3 linked regions of the Mus musculus genome follow. The protein of the gene in region 3 binds, or shares a complex with, the protein of the main gene of each other region. Links are inferred from orthologs where the notes say so. Each region holds a gene or a part of one and is shown on either strand. Other genes may lie near its edges. The genes, in order: Amfr, Aup1 and Ube2g2.

Region 1 (3,643 bases), on a different chromosome or scaffold from region 3:
GTCAGTTAAATACTAGATTTTAATTAAAAATGCATAGTTCCAGTAAATTCGTTGTGCTAAAAATTAGTTATTTGAATCATCTGAAGTAGACTAAAGAGCTGATAGGGCCTACCTAAGATTTTAAACCAACCCCTTCTCAGGAGGCTCACACCTCCTGGAATGAAGCTGTTGCCAGCCAGAGTCAGCCAAGAGCCCTCCAGCGCTCTTCCATCCCAGAGCACCTATGTTTGTTTACATGGTGATGATCTCAGAGGAAGGAGCAAGAGGGAGACAGCAGGAGCCGTGTATCCTGCATTTTCTATGTTTGCTGTGATCAAAAACCATTTCTATCCTGTCTTTTTATCCGCAGCTTTTCCCTTTGCATACTGGCCTCGCATGTCTCCACAGGATAGCAAGGGCCAGAATCCCCACAGCTTTAAGGCACTATTCCACTATATGCACAAGTTTCCTCTCTGTCCATTCATTCACATTCAAACTGCTTCTACTTCTAGCCTACTGTAAGCCAATCAATCTTTCCTTTTTCACCCAAACCCCAAACATTGTCCGCAGCTCTATCACCCCTCCTTCTGTCTTTAAAGCTCTCTTCCCTTCCCCACTTCCACCCTACCCCTTCACCTGAAGGGTGGTACCCTTGCAGTCAGTATTTCTCCTGGTTTTGTACCTCAACTTCTACTTTTCTAAAGATCATTCCTAGTCACACATTCCTCACTAAAAAACAACCCATGGCTGTGCTCTCTAATCCCAATACTCAGGAGGCTGAGGCAGGGGGATCATGAGTTCAAGCCAACCTGGACTAGAGAACCTATCTCCGAAAGCAGGGAGACGAGGGTGTAGTGCAGTAGCAAAACCCTTGCCTAGCAGGCCCAGGCCCTAGACTTAGTGTCCAGCATGAGGAAAGAAGAGAAGGGGACAGAGGCAGAGGGGAGGAAAGAAGGAGCCCGAACATATAAGCAATACCCAGGATTAACTCCCAAGAGCTCCACCAGGGAGGGAGAGACCAGGGAGGGAGAGAGGAAGGGATGAAAAAGAAAAGAATTTCCTTTGACAAACCCTTCCCAAGTTCCCAGTACAACCTCACCACAGCCTGAGCAACTGTTTCCTTCCTATACACCAACCATCTTGCCAACCTTTGAGCTTACACACAACCCACCCTTCCCAAGAAGACTCTTGTCTGCCTTGAGGGCACTGCAATTGCTGAGCTGAGTACAGTCCACTCACAGAGACACACTTTTTGTTCCTTTGCTTGTTTGTTTGTTTTTGTTTTTGTTTTTCGAGACAGGGTTTCTCTGTGTAGCCCTGGCTGTCCTGGAACTCACTCTGTAGACCAAGCTGGCCTCGAACTCAGAAATCCTCCTGCCTCTGCCTCCCAAGTGCTGGCACTAAAAGCATGCACCACCACACCCAGCTCAGAGACAGACTTTTAGCCAGGTTTGGTGGCACATGCCTTCAGTTCCAACACTCAGGAGGAAAAAAGGCAGGCAGGCTGTTCTACATAGAATTCCATGTCAGACAGAACCCTATTCCAAAAACCAAATACACAGCTTCAGAAAAATACAAAAACAAAAAGTATTTGGACAATTTCCTTGAGCCAACAGCATGCCTCAAAGTTACAAGGTGCAGAGACATGCACACACACACACACACACACACACACACACACAACACTTTGGAGGCAAAGAAACAAAAAAAATGTATTTGATAATTCTTATGTAATTCTTTATATTGTTCACTCTTGTTGATACTTCCTTCTGAATGTTTGCTTAAATCAAGGAGTCTCAGCGTGGGCTTGGGTCACAGTAAGGTAGACCTGGTAGTGAGCACTGCCACAGGTAAAACACAAGCAAGTTCCCGACTGGTGTGGGCTGCCTGCCTTACTACCTGAGCACTCACTAGTCAGCACCAGCTTATTATCGTGTCAAGGCTCTGAGGTAGCACTCTTAGTACATTCAGGCCTGGATTTAATCTTTTGTTCCAGACAGGGAGAGAAGAGGGGAGGGAGACAAAGAAGAGAGGAGTGAATGGAAAGAAATGGAAGTGGTCCCTGAAAACTTGGCTGTGCTATGAGAAACCAGCAAGGTCATGCACCCTATCCCCGCCACCCTATCCCCGCCACACTATTCACATGTCATGGAGCTCCTTGTGCCCTCCTGACCACTCACTAGTTCTCATCTTAAACAGTCAGCAATTCTTACCATGGCATTTAGCTGAGAGTTGCTTGCCTGCGTGATGCCAAGAATGTTGGTAGTGTGCATCACTTCAACTGAAAAACTTGGCAGCCAGCTTGCAATCCGGGACCCTAAGACAAATCAGAGTCCAACACAAGAATTAGTGCCCTGGTCCCTGCCCCAGTGTCATCTGTTTCCAGGCACTCTACCAAGTGCCTGAGGGCTTTCTTTATGCTTTCCTTTTTTGCCAAGTGTTTTCTCCAGATTAGTTTATTCTGTCCTCACCAAAACCTACACGTGCTTTCCACTCCCCTGAGAGATGTGACTCTGGCCCCAACCTTGGTCTTTGGTCCCTGAGGCACTGAGAAGTTAGGGAAACACATCCAAGACCACACAGGTTAATGACGTGGCAGAACGTGAGGCCAGACAGCCATTCCACCTGCAATCCCTTCTCTCGTCAAGGGTTCCCATGACTCCGAAACTGCTCTAGCAGCTCAGGTCCACTCCTCTGCTACAACCAGCACAAATTACTCCTCATGTGGATGAGCCATTTCCATCATTACCTTCATGAAGTACTTTCTGCTTAATATAACTTAACCTTGGTCTGGGCATTGTGCTGAATGCCTTGTTTTAAATAGGTATAGGGGTGTTCTCTTACCCATTCAAGAGAGGTACACACCTCCATTCCCTAATATACACCTTTACTCTGATCATTTGGGAGACAGAGGCAGAAGGATCTCTGTGAATTCAAGGTCAGCCTGGTCAACATAGTGAACCCCAAGCCAGCAAGGGCTACACAATGAAACAGTGCCTTGCGGAATGGGGGGTTGGTTACCTTAGTTTTCAGATTATAAATTCTTTTTCAAAGCGTTCTCCAACATAGGTTTGTGGAGTGATGTAATCATTAGCAGGTGTCGTTTCTATTGTTTTAGGATCACAATTCAAAGCCATCATGTGCCAACTACAAAACATTCAGATCAAGCTTCAGAGCTTCATGTGTGGGGTTGTATTGCTTTACGACCAAGCTGCAGCATGCGATACAAGGGATCTTGCCAAAACAAGGGACAAAGTGATGGGATATATATATATATCTCCATCTCCAAGATCTGCCAACACATTTCAGAAGCTGTACCTAGTAAGCAAGTCTGGTGGTGCAGGTCTGTAATCCCAGCTTCTTGGGAGGTACAGACAAGAGAATTAACAAGTGAAAAGCCAGCCTGAGAAACATCATGAGACCCTGTCTCAAAGAGAAATCAGAAAATGGCTGGAACTACATGGCTCAGAGGTAAGGGGCTGGACTAGCACGCTGAGGCCCACATGGAAGAGTTCAGCACTGAGCGAGAACAAGCTTGTGCTTGGCTCTTAGGAATCGCTGTCTGTCTGGAAGCTTTACCTGTCAAATAAAGCTGACTGGCTGGCTGTAGCTGAGGCAGGAAATTCCATGGGAAGCAAGGATTCTGGGACAGAGCCAGATGTGA
Region 2 (3,721 bases), on a different chromosome or scaffold from region 3:
TGTTCTTTCTCACATATTGTCCTCTAACCCTCTCACCTTCTTGCATATTCATACAGTGCCTGCTTGCGCTCCTGCAGGCTCTCCTGACGGGCCCAGGAAGACTTGGCAAACGTTAGGGCTGTGGGCTGAGGGGTCGCCAGGCCCGAGCTGGGGAACTGAGGTGATCACAATGTCAGAGGGCTTGCGAAGTCATCATCATTATACACCCATCGAATGCCTACTTTGCAAGAGAGGCACTGTGCTAGGGTCTCAACATCAAGGCGAGAAGTCAGGGAGAGGGAGCAGAGACTGCCCAGACCTGCCCTTAAGTCTTGGCCTTGACTACTCCAGGTCTCACCTTTGGGGCAGAGGGTGCAGGCGGGGACTGAGATCCCTCAGTGACATCTTCAGGCATGAAAGCCACAGCCCCCTCGAGCAGGTTTGTGATGGTCAAGTCTACACACCCAGTCCTGGCTGGGAAGAGAGGGGCAGAGTGTCCACTCCCTGTACCCCTTCTCTGTTGAGACCCATTTTCCTGTGTCTGCCATTCTGTGATGCTACCCTTTCCCATACCCAGGTCTCTCTGGATGACATTCAATGGCACATGGGGCAGAACCTCCTTGACTCTGTGAGCGAGAGTGGTCAGCTGCACATCAGAAGAAGGGCTGGGAGGAGAAGGAAAAGAAGACTGCACTGTTTAAAAGAAAAAAAAATGAGGTGAGTGGATTACTGAGAGAGGCAGACACGCGTAAGGAGGGAAGCAAAACCACCAAGCGCAGCAAGCATCTTTGTGCCCAGATCACACACCTGACTGGGGGCGTAATCTGGGGTGTCTTTGTCGCTTCATGTGTTCTGCTTTGTCTGCTGGAGTGAGCCGTGTCCCTATCTGGCCCAATTCTTTGGCCACCAGCTAGGGAGAATTGGAAGGTTATAGCTGTAGCCTCGTCAGGTCTTCTTCCCCTTCTCCCCAGGAGGGAGGGACCCCCCCACTTCCACCACACCCCTGTTCACTACCACCTGTTGTACACGGAGCGCAAACTCCTCACTCTCTTCCCCTAGCTGTCGACGAATGGGATGAAGCCACCTACAAAAACCAGAGCCCTGCCCTGTTAAGTCGACAGGGGCTAAGGGTATGGCCCTTCCCCATTTATCTTGGAACAGTGGTGGGGAGAGTAGGGAGATGAAGATAAGTGTTGCTTCTGTTAGAACTTCGACATTAACAAACCACAGGCAGACAGGATAGTGGTCACTACTTCCATGCCCTTGAGGTGAACACCTTCCCAGCCACCAAAAACGGAGGACAGTTAGTACCTTACTTGATACACCGTGAAAGGAACAAAAAGGGACCACAGCAGTTCTGAGACCCAGGAGGCATCTGACACCGTCTGAGGGGAGGGCATGAAGTGAGGTCTAAGCCAGGGCCACAGGTGGGAAACTTCCCTTCCAGACCCCAGAGTAGTCCCTGTCCAGCATGCACTCACCACAGAGACCAGGGGTCTCTGAACTTGCAGGGTAAGAGGTTGTACCACGTCCTGAATAGAAAATGGCCACGAACTAAGAGAGAGGGAGAGAGAGCGAGTAGTATGGGAGTTCAGCCTAGCCCAGCCAACCACTTATATCTGACTTAAACTAGTAAACTGTCCAACTCCATAAGCAGACAACTGAGGAATTAAGAATTTCGAGGGCAGGGCTAAAAGTGGGCAGACAGGAAAGGAACTAGGGCACCCACTCAACTGGAGCCAGATGCCTGCGCTTACCCACCTGAAACGCAGCAGCCCTTCTCGGCCATTGGTGGCCTCTTCCTCGGGGAAGAGCAGCAAAGGTGTGGGCGGAAGCCTCGTGGAAGCACAGAATTTCTTGAGTGACTCCACCAACTCCACCCGCCTATCCATCTCCATGAAGCCCCGAGACCAACACACAAAGCTGGGGGGACTATTGAGTAGAGGCTGAGAACGGGGAGAAAAAGCAAGAAGAATGGAAGGAAATGTCAAAAAGAGAAAGAGAAAGGAAAAGACAGAAAGAAAGAGGAAAAGGGTGACACGTGAGGTGGCGATTAAGGGGCTGGGGGAAAGGCTCGGTGTTCCCCAAGAGAATCCCAATGGGTAAAGGGGAGCCTTGAGCTTGGGCCTGGGGAGCCACCCGGTGGCGCTCTCGGCCTCGCCCCCCACTCACGGTGCTACAGGTGGTGAGGAGGTTGACTATGTTGTGGTCAAAAGGTGTTACGTGGTTGGAAATAAGGACCCTGACGCGGTGATCGCGGAGTCCGGAGTCCTCCTGCCGGGCCACGAGCCCCAGGACCGCACACATGGTTCGTACCACGAACCTGGGGACACAGGCGGCGGTGACCGTGCGGTCCAGAGCCCAGCCCAGCCCCGATGCTCCCCCGGGCGCCGCGGTCCGCACCTGCGGAGGACGCTGTCGGGCAGAGCGCAGCTGACCAGGAAGACGTGGAGCCCGAGGAAGAGTCGCAGGACCAGGAGGCAGAGGCCGACCGGCGCGTAGAGCAGTAGCGCGAGCAGCAGGAAGCCGTCACTCGGGAGCCTGTGGCGAGAGGCGACGCGATCAGGCGCCGAAGCTGACAGGACGCGCTGACCGGTCTCTTCCCTCCGCAGCGCTTACCGGTGCGAGTCAAAGAGCCGCTCCGGCCCCGGAGCTGGGGGAGGTTCCATCGCAGCCGCTTCAGGAGAGCGGGGCCGCTGTCGCCGCCATCTTCGCAGGGCCGCGGGGGCCCCTGGGAAGGCGGAGTCTTTGGGCATCCGCCGAGACGCCAGAACCTGAGGCCCGGAGGCGCCCCGGAAGGGCTAGCGTTCCCAGCATGCCTCGCGGCCCCGGGGAATGTGTGTGTATGTGTGTGTGTTTGTGTGTGAGCGTGTGCGTATGCTGGAGAGGAGCGCGTCCTGACGGGACTACGTTTCCCGGCATGCGCTGAACAGCTACCGTCGTGCCCTGCTTCTCCTAGACCGCTTGCCGGGTTCTAGAGGACCGCCTCTGAGTAGGGCGGGCGAGGAGAGTCGAGGCGGAGCTGATGGCTGCGCTGAAAGCGGGGCGGGGTGCAAACTGGAGCCTTCGGGCATGGCGGGCTTTGGGGGGCATCTTCTGGAGGAAGCCTCCCCTGTTAGCTCCTGACCTCCGGGCTCTGCTGACGTCAGGAACTCCTGACTCTCAGATCTGGATGACTTATGGGACCCCCAGTCTCCCGGCCCAGGTGCCTGAGGGGTTCCTTGCATCACGGGCAGATCTGACGTCTAGGACCCCGGATCTCTGGGCACGATTGAATGTGGGGACTTCAGGCTCCAGTGACCAGGAGGCCCGCAGGAGCCCTGGAAGCCGTCGGCGCGAATGGCTGGCGGTGGCGGTGGGCGCAGGAGGTGCAGTGGTGCTGCTGTTGTGGGGTTGGGGTCGGGGTCTTTCCACGGTGCTGGCTGCTGTTCCTGCTCCGCCACCCACTTCTCCCCGGAGCCAGTACAATTTCATCGCAGATGTGGTGGAGAAGACAGCCCCTGCTGTGGTCTATATCGAGATCCTAGACCGGTAATGGTGAAGTTGACCAGGAGGTGTTGAACTGCCGTTAGTGAAGGCAAGGGAGCAGGATGAGGTGGAAGCTGCAGTGTAATGGGTACTTTCCCCATCCCAGGCACCCTTTCTCCGGCCGTGAAGTCCCCATCTCAAACGGATCAGGATTCGTAGTGGCTTCAGATGGGCTCATCGTTACCAACGCCCACGTGGTGGCTGATCGGCGCCG
Region 3 (3,743 bases):
GCAGGGAGCAGCAGCATGGCCAGGCAACAAGCAGGGGAGGCACTGAGAGCAGATCCTTAAGGGGAATGCAGGGACCCAGCCTTTCTACTTCTCCCGTGTCTGGCCTTAGGTGAACAGCTCTGCTCTGGTTCACGCCCCTACTCTGACGTGCTGCCTTGGTGGGCAGAGACACCTCCTGCCTCGTCTGACAGGCCAAGCTCGAAATTCCCAGGCTCCACACAGAAGGGAGATGTGACCCTTGTCAGTTGTCCTAACTTCTGCACATGCACAGTGGCACTCGCCTGCCCACCCACAAATACACAAAAACAGCTGTCATTGTAAAACAATCTCAAGTCTACCCCAATGTGGGAACTGTGACACTGTCTGGAAACAGTCTCAGCAGATGTACCAGAATTAAATACAGAACATTCTGACTAGGCTGGGCCCTAAGCCAGTGACTGTTGACATTTCAAGTGGAAAAATCTGAATACCGACACACCCAGGCTCAGATGGCCACAGGAAGGTACAGGAGAGGAAGGACTTACACTAGCACAGCTAAGTAACCCGCAGTAGCCAGCACTCTAGAGCTGAGAGGGAGGAAGGACCTTCCCCAAAAGCCCACCCTGCCTAGGGTGACAGCCCAGGCCACAAGTGGGCTTCTAATTCTATCTCCAAACCATGAGATGCTGTCTGTTATGGTATCTGAGTGGTGACAATGTTACAACAGCCCTGGACCACTGTTCCCTTGTCTGTCACAGTAAGAAGAAAAGCTGTGGAAACATATGACAAGGACACAAGAACACACACTGTTCTTACAGAGGAACCAGGTTCGAGTATTGGCACCCGTATGAAAAAGAGGCAGGCTTTATTTACCATGGGTGCCTGTAGCCCCAGAGTTGGAGGCAAGGGAGGAAACAGGAAGATGTCTGGGGCTAACTGGCTGGCCATTCTAGCTGAATTGATGAGCTCCAGGTTCAATGACAGGCCTGGTCTCAAGAGAAGAGGGTGGAGAGTGAGCGACAGAGTGGGACATTCAATATCCGCCTCTGCGTGCACAGGACACTGCACTTGGGAGCAGTCTAAGGTCTTCGCTTGGCTCTTTTTGTGATATGACCACAGTCTAATCGTTTTATATCTGTTATTCAACTGCTATAAAAGAAAAACAAGGAGCCTGAAAAACAATAGGGATGAAGAGATGACTCATAGATTTTGTTGCTCTTGCAGAAGATCCAGGTTCTAGTTCAGCACCCACACAAAGACTCACAACCAGCTGTAACTCCAGTCCCTGGGGATCTGATGTCATCTTCTGACATCCACTGGCACAGGCACACATATGACACACTTACCTATGTGTAATCAAAATACTCATAAAAATACACATAAAAAACACATTAAAAAAAAGTTAGACAATGAACCACACTCAAGGTCATATCGCCTCTAAATCTACAGTACAATCAGGTATGCAAGAACACCTTCGCTCTAGCCCAACCTCGGATGTTCTAATTCAACCTGGATGTTCCTGTTGAATCTACCTAATACTAGAGTACATGGTCTTAAACAGAGGACAAACCTTTTATACCATAAAGGAAGAAAAACACTCAGTGGGACTTTTATTGAATTCACAAGGACACGGAAAAAACCTCCCTCCCTCCCTCGCTCCTCGTGCTTTGTACTGCTGGATGCATTTCCATCACTGCTGCCACAGGCTTAAACAATATCCATTGATGACCTCATGGTTTCCATGTGGGCTTGGGCCCAGCCGAGACAGCTGGTTGTTTCAGGGCTGCAACCCAAGTCCATTCAAGTCGCTGGCACAACTCAGTTCCGTATGGCTGTAACACTGGTCCCAGACTAGCTGTCAGCCTGGGGCCACCCTTAGCTCCCTGCCCTTTTTTTTCCTCTTCCAAGAAGCCACAGCAGGTGGAGTCCTTCTCCTCTGTGAACCCCCTGAGCCCCTCGCCAGCCTTCCTATTTTAGAGTTCCCTCTTTAACCAAATTCCTTCTCTCTCTCACACGGAGATGATTCACAACCTTAACTTCAAATTAAGTGACAATACGTTTTGTCTGACGTACGAGTAGAGGCTTTTTGTGGCGGATAAGTTTTTCTCTAATGTGAATACCCTTGGGTAGAAGTGGTCAAAACTTAAACCCCTGTCCCGGAGCTTAAATGCTGTTCCCTCTTTTTTAGATAAAGGGGATGTGTCTCAATCTAGACACAGAGCTGAAAAAGTAAAACAGAGAGAAAAACAGATCCGGATCCAAGGAAACTGTCCGGAGCCCGTGTCCGAGAAACTTTGGTTTTCCCCAGCAACTCGCACCTGCGGCGTGGCCGGGGGTTTGAGGCGTTATCTTGTTTATTTTTAACTTTCTCCCCCAACTCCCCTCGACGGCTCGACCACCTTACGGGGATTACCCGGTACTCGCCCCGCAGCATCAACTGTCGGGAGGGCAGATGCGCAGCACACAGGGGCTTAGGGACCAGACCCGGGTGGCAGGGCCACGGCGGCGCTGCCCCGGCCGGCTTCTGAGCCCAGGGCCAGCCCCGCTGCCGCTGGCTGGGGTGCGCAGGTGACGGCGACAGCCTGGCCTTTTATCCGCACGCGGAATCTCGCAGCCCGGCCCAGTACCCCCGCACCGCACCGCACCGAGCCGAGCCATGCCGGGCCACGCCGCGGGCGACTATGGGGAAGAGGACAGGAAGGCGGCGCCGCCTGACTCACGCTTATACTCGGCCATCAGCCTCTTCAACGCCGTCCCCGCCATACCGCGGAACCTGCGTTCAGCAGCCTCGCCACATCCGCGCCGGTCCCGCCCGCCCGCTCCGACGCCCACGACTGCTTCCGGGTCGCGGGCTCCGGGCGCAAATGCATCCGGGGCGCGCGCGGGTGACGTGGCGCACCCGGGTGCTTCAGACAGGCTCGCTGGGGTTCGCCTCGCGCTCCCCGGGTAATGGCCCGGGTCGACGGAGCTCGGCTTCCAGAATCTTCTCGGCCGGCCACACCCTCAGCATTGAAGGTTTCCTACGCCGCCGTGAGGCTTTGCGCAGCTCGCCCTGCGGCCCTTTAGTCTTGAAAAATAGTGCGAGAGCTAATGGCTCATCATGGATTGTTCCTGAATGAGACTCATGTCCTTGCGCTTGGGCTCGCCCCTCAGAAGTGGCTGTCCAGATCGTGAAACTTTCCCCTTGTAGGCATGAATGTCCTAGAACTCATTATTTAGCCCAGGCCGGCCTCGAATTCACAGAGATGCCACCTGCCTACCTCTGTCTCCCAAGTGCCACTACACCTGGTTTTTGAGGCCCAGGTGATTTGAGATGACACTTCTAGCAAGAGAAAGAGTACCTTGGTTTCACAAAGGAAGGATAAAGTTCCCGGGCCATATCCCATCCTCTCTGGCCAAAAAAACTCAGACTCTGCCAAGTAAGCTGTACTTCCTCATCATACGGAACTGCCAGATAGATGCTTGGTATTTTCTTAGGTGCACCACTGCCTTCGCTAAGTGGACATGAGGGATACAGCTCGGGACGTGGCTCTCCGAAAAAAGGGGCTTTCAGGACTAGGTGTAGGGACAAAGAGAAAGTTCCTGCTGGGACCCTGAGTATAAGAAGCTGAACTCAAAAGATTTGAGGCATTAGATTCATCACATTTGTCGTTTTAAAAAAGAATATTAAGGGGGCTGAAGAGATGGCTCAGCGGTTAAGAGCACTGACTGCTCTTCTGGAGGTCCTGAGTTCAAATCCCAACAACCACATGGTGGCTCACAAC

Evidence for each region.
Region 1: the proteins of Ube2g2 (region 3) and Amfr are in contact, whole or in part, in an NMR structure (PDB 2LXP), measured with the Homo sapiens proteins. The link is inferred for Mus musculus from reciprocal best matches to the Homo sapiens genes UBE2G2 and AMFR. Residues at the interface, in NP_003334.2 of Homo sapiens: Tyr13, Leu16, Thr17, Pro20, Gly23, Ile24, Val25, Ala26, Gly27, Pro28, Met29, Asn30, Glu31, Glu38, Leu40, Met42, Glu45, Glu50, Phe51, Val53, Val159, Gln160, Leu163, Gly164, Leu165; in NP_001135.3 of Homo sapiens: Ser574, Ala575, Arg578, Gln579, Met581, Leu582, Arg585, Lys586, Leu589, Leu590, Ala593, Arg594, Arg596, Phe597, Leu598, Lys600.
Region 2: the proteins of Ube2g2 (region 3) and Aup1 are in contact, whole or in part, in a crystal structure (PDB 7LEW), measured with the Homo sapiens proteins. The link is inferred for Mus musculus from reciprocal best matches to the Homo sapiens genes UBE2G2 and AUP1. Residues at the interface, in NP_003334.2 of Homo sapiens: Tyr13, Thr17, Pro20, Gly23, Ile24, Val25, Ala26, Gly27, Pro28, Met29, Asn30, Glu31, Glu38, Leu40, Met42, Glu45, Glu50, Phe51, Val53, Pro55, Lys156, Val159, Gln160, Ser162, Leu163, Leu165; in NP_853553.1 of Homo sapiens: Ser379, Arg382, Gln383, Leu386, Arg389, Lys390, Leu393, Tyr394, Tyr396, Ala397, Arg398, Arg400, Phe401, Thr402.

Annotation. Positions count from the first base shown.
Region 1 is NC_000074.6:93,978,126-93,981,768, forward strand, and holds part of Amfr (E3 ubiquitin-protein ligase AMFR), read right to left. Parts: intron 2,297-3,643; coding exon 2,193-2,296; intron 1-2,192. UniProt on the Homo sapiens protein: E3 ubiquitin-protein ligase that mediates the polyubiquitination of lysine and cysteine residues on target proteins, such as CD3D, CYP3A4, CFTR, INSIG1, SOAT2/ACAT2 and APOB for proteasomal degradation.
Region 2 is NC_000072.6:83,053,710-83,057,430, reverse strand, and holds the start of Aup1 (ancient ubiquitous protein 1), read right to left. Parts: upstream 2,911-3,721; 5' UTR 2,736-2,910; coding exon 2,599-2,735; intron 2,521-2,598; coding exon 2,383-2,520; intron 2,303-2,382; coding exon 2,152-2,302; intron 1,926-2,151; coding exon 1,741-1,925; intron 1,534-1,740; coding exon 1,461-1,533; intron 1,365-1,460; coding exon 1,291-1,364; intron 1,064-1,290; coding exon 997-1,063; intron 890-996; coding exon 787-889; intron 673-786; coding exon 553-672; intron 454-552; coding exon 338-453; intron 218-337; exon of another isoform or gene 156-217; coding exon 37-155; intron 1-36. Other genes in the region: Htra2 (serine protease HTRA2, mitochondrial), read left to right, coding at 3,005-3,510, 3,614-3,721. UniProt on the Homo sapiens protein: Plays a role in the translocation of terminally misfolded proteins from the endoplasmic reticulum lumen to the cytoplasm and their degradation by the proteasome. Plays a role in lipid droplet formation. Induces lipid droplet clustering.
Region 3 is NC_000076.6:77,621,373-77,625,115, reverse strand, and holds the start of Ube2g2 (ubiquitin-conjugating enzyme E2 G2), read right to left. Parts: upstream 2,796-3,743; 5' UTR 2,743-2,795; coding exon 2,700-2,742; intron 1-2,699. UniProt on the Homo sapiens protein: Accepts ubiquitin from the E1 complex and catalyzes its covalent attachment to other proteins. In vitro catalyzes 'Lys-48'-linked polyubiquitination. Involved in endoplasmic reticulum-associated degradation (ERAD).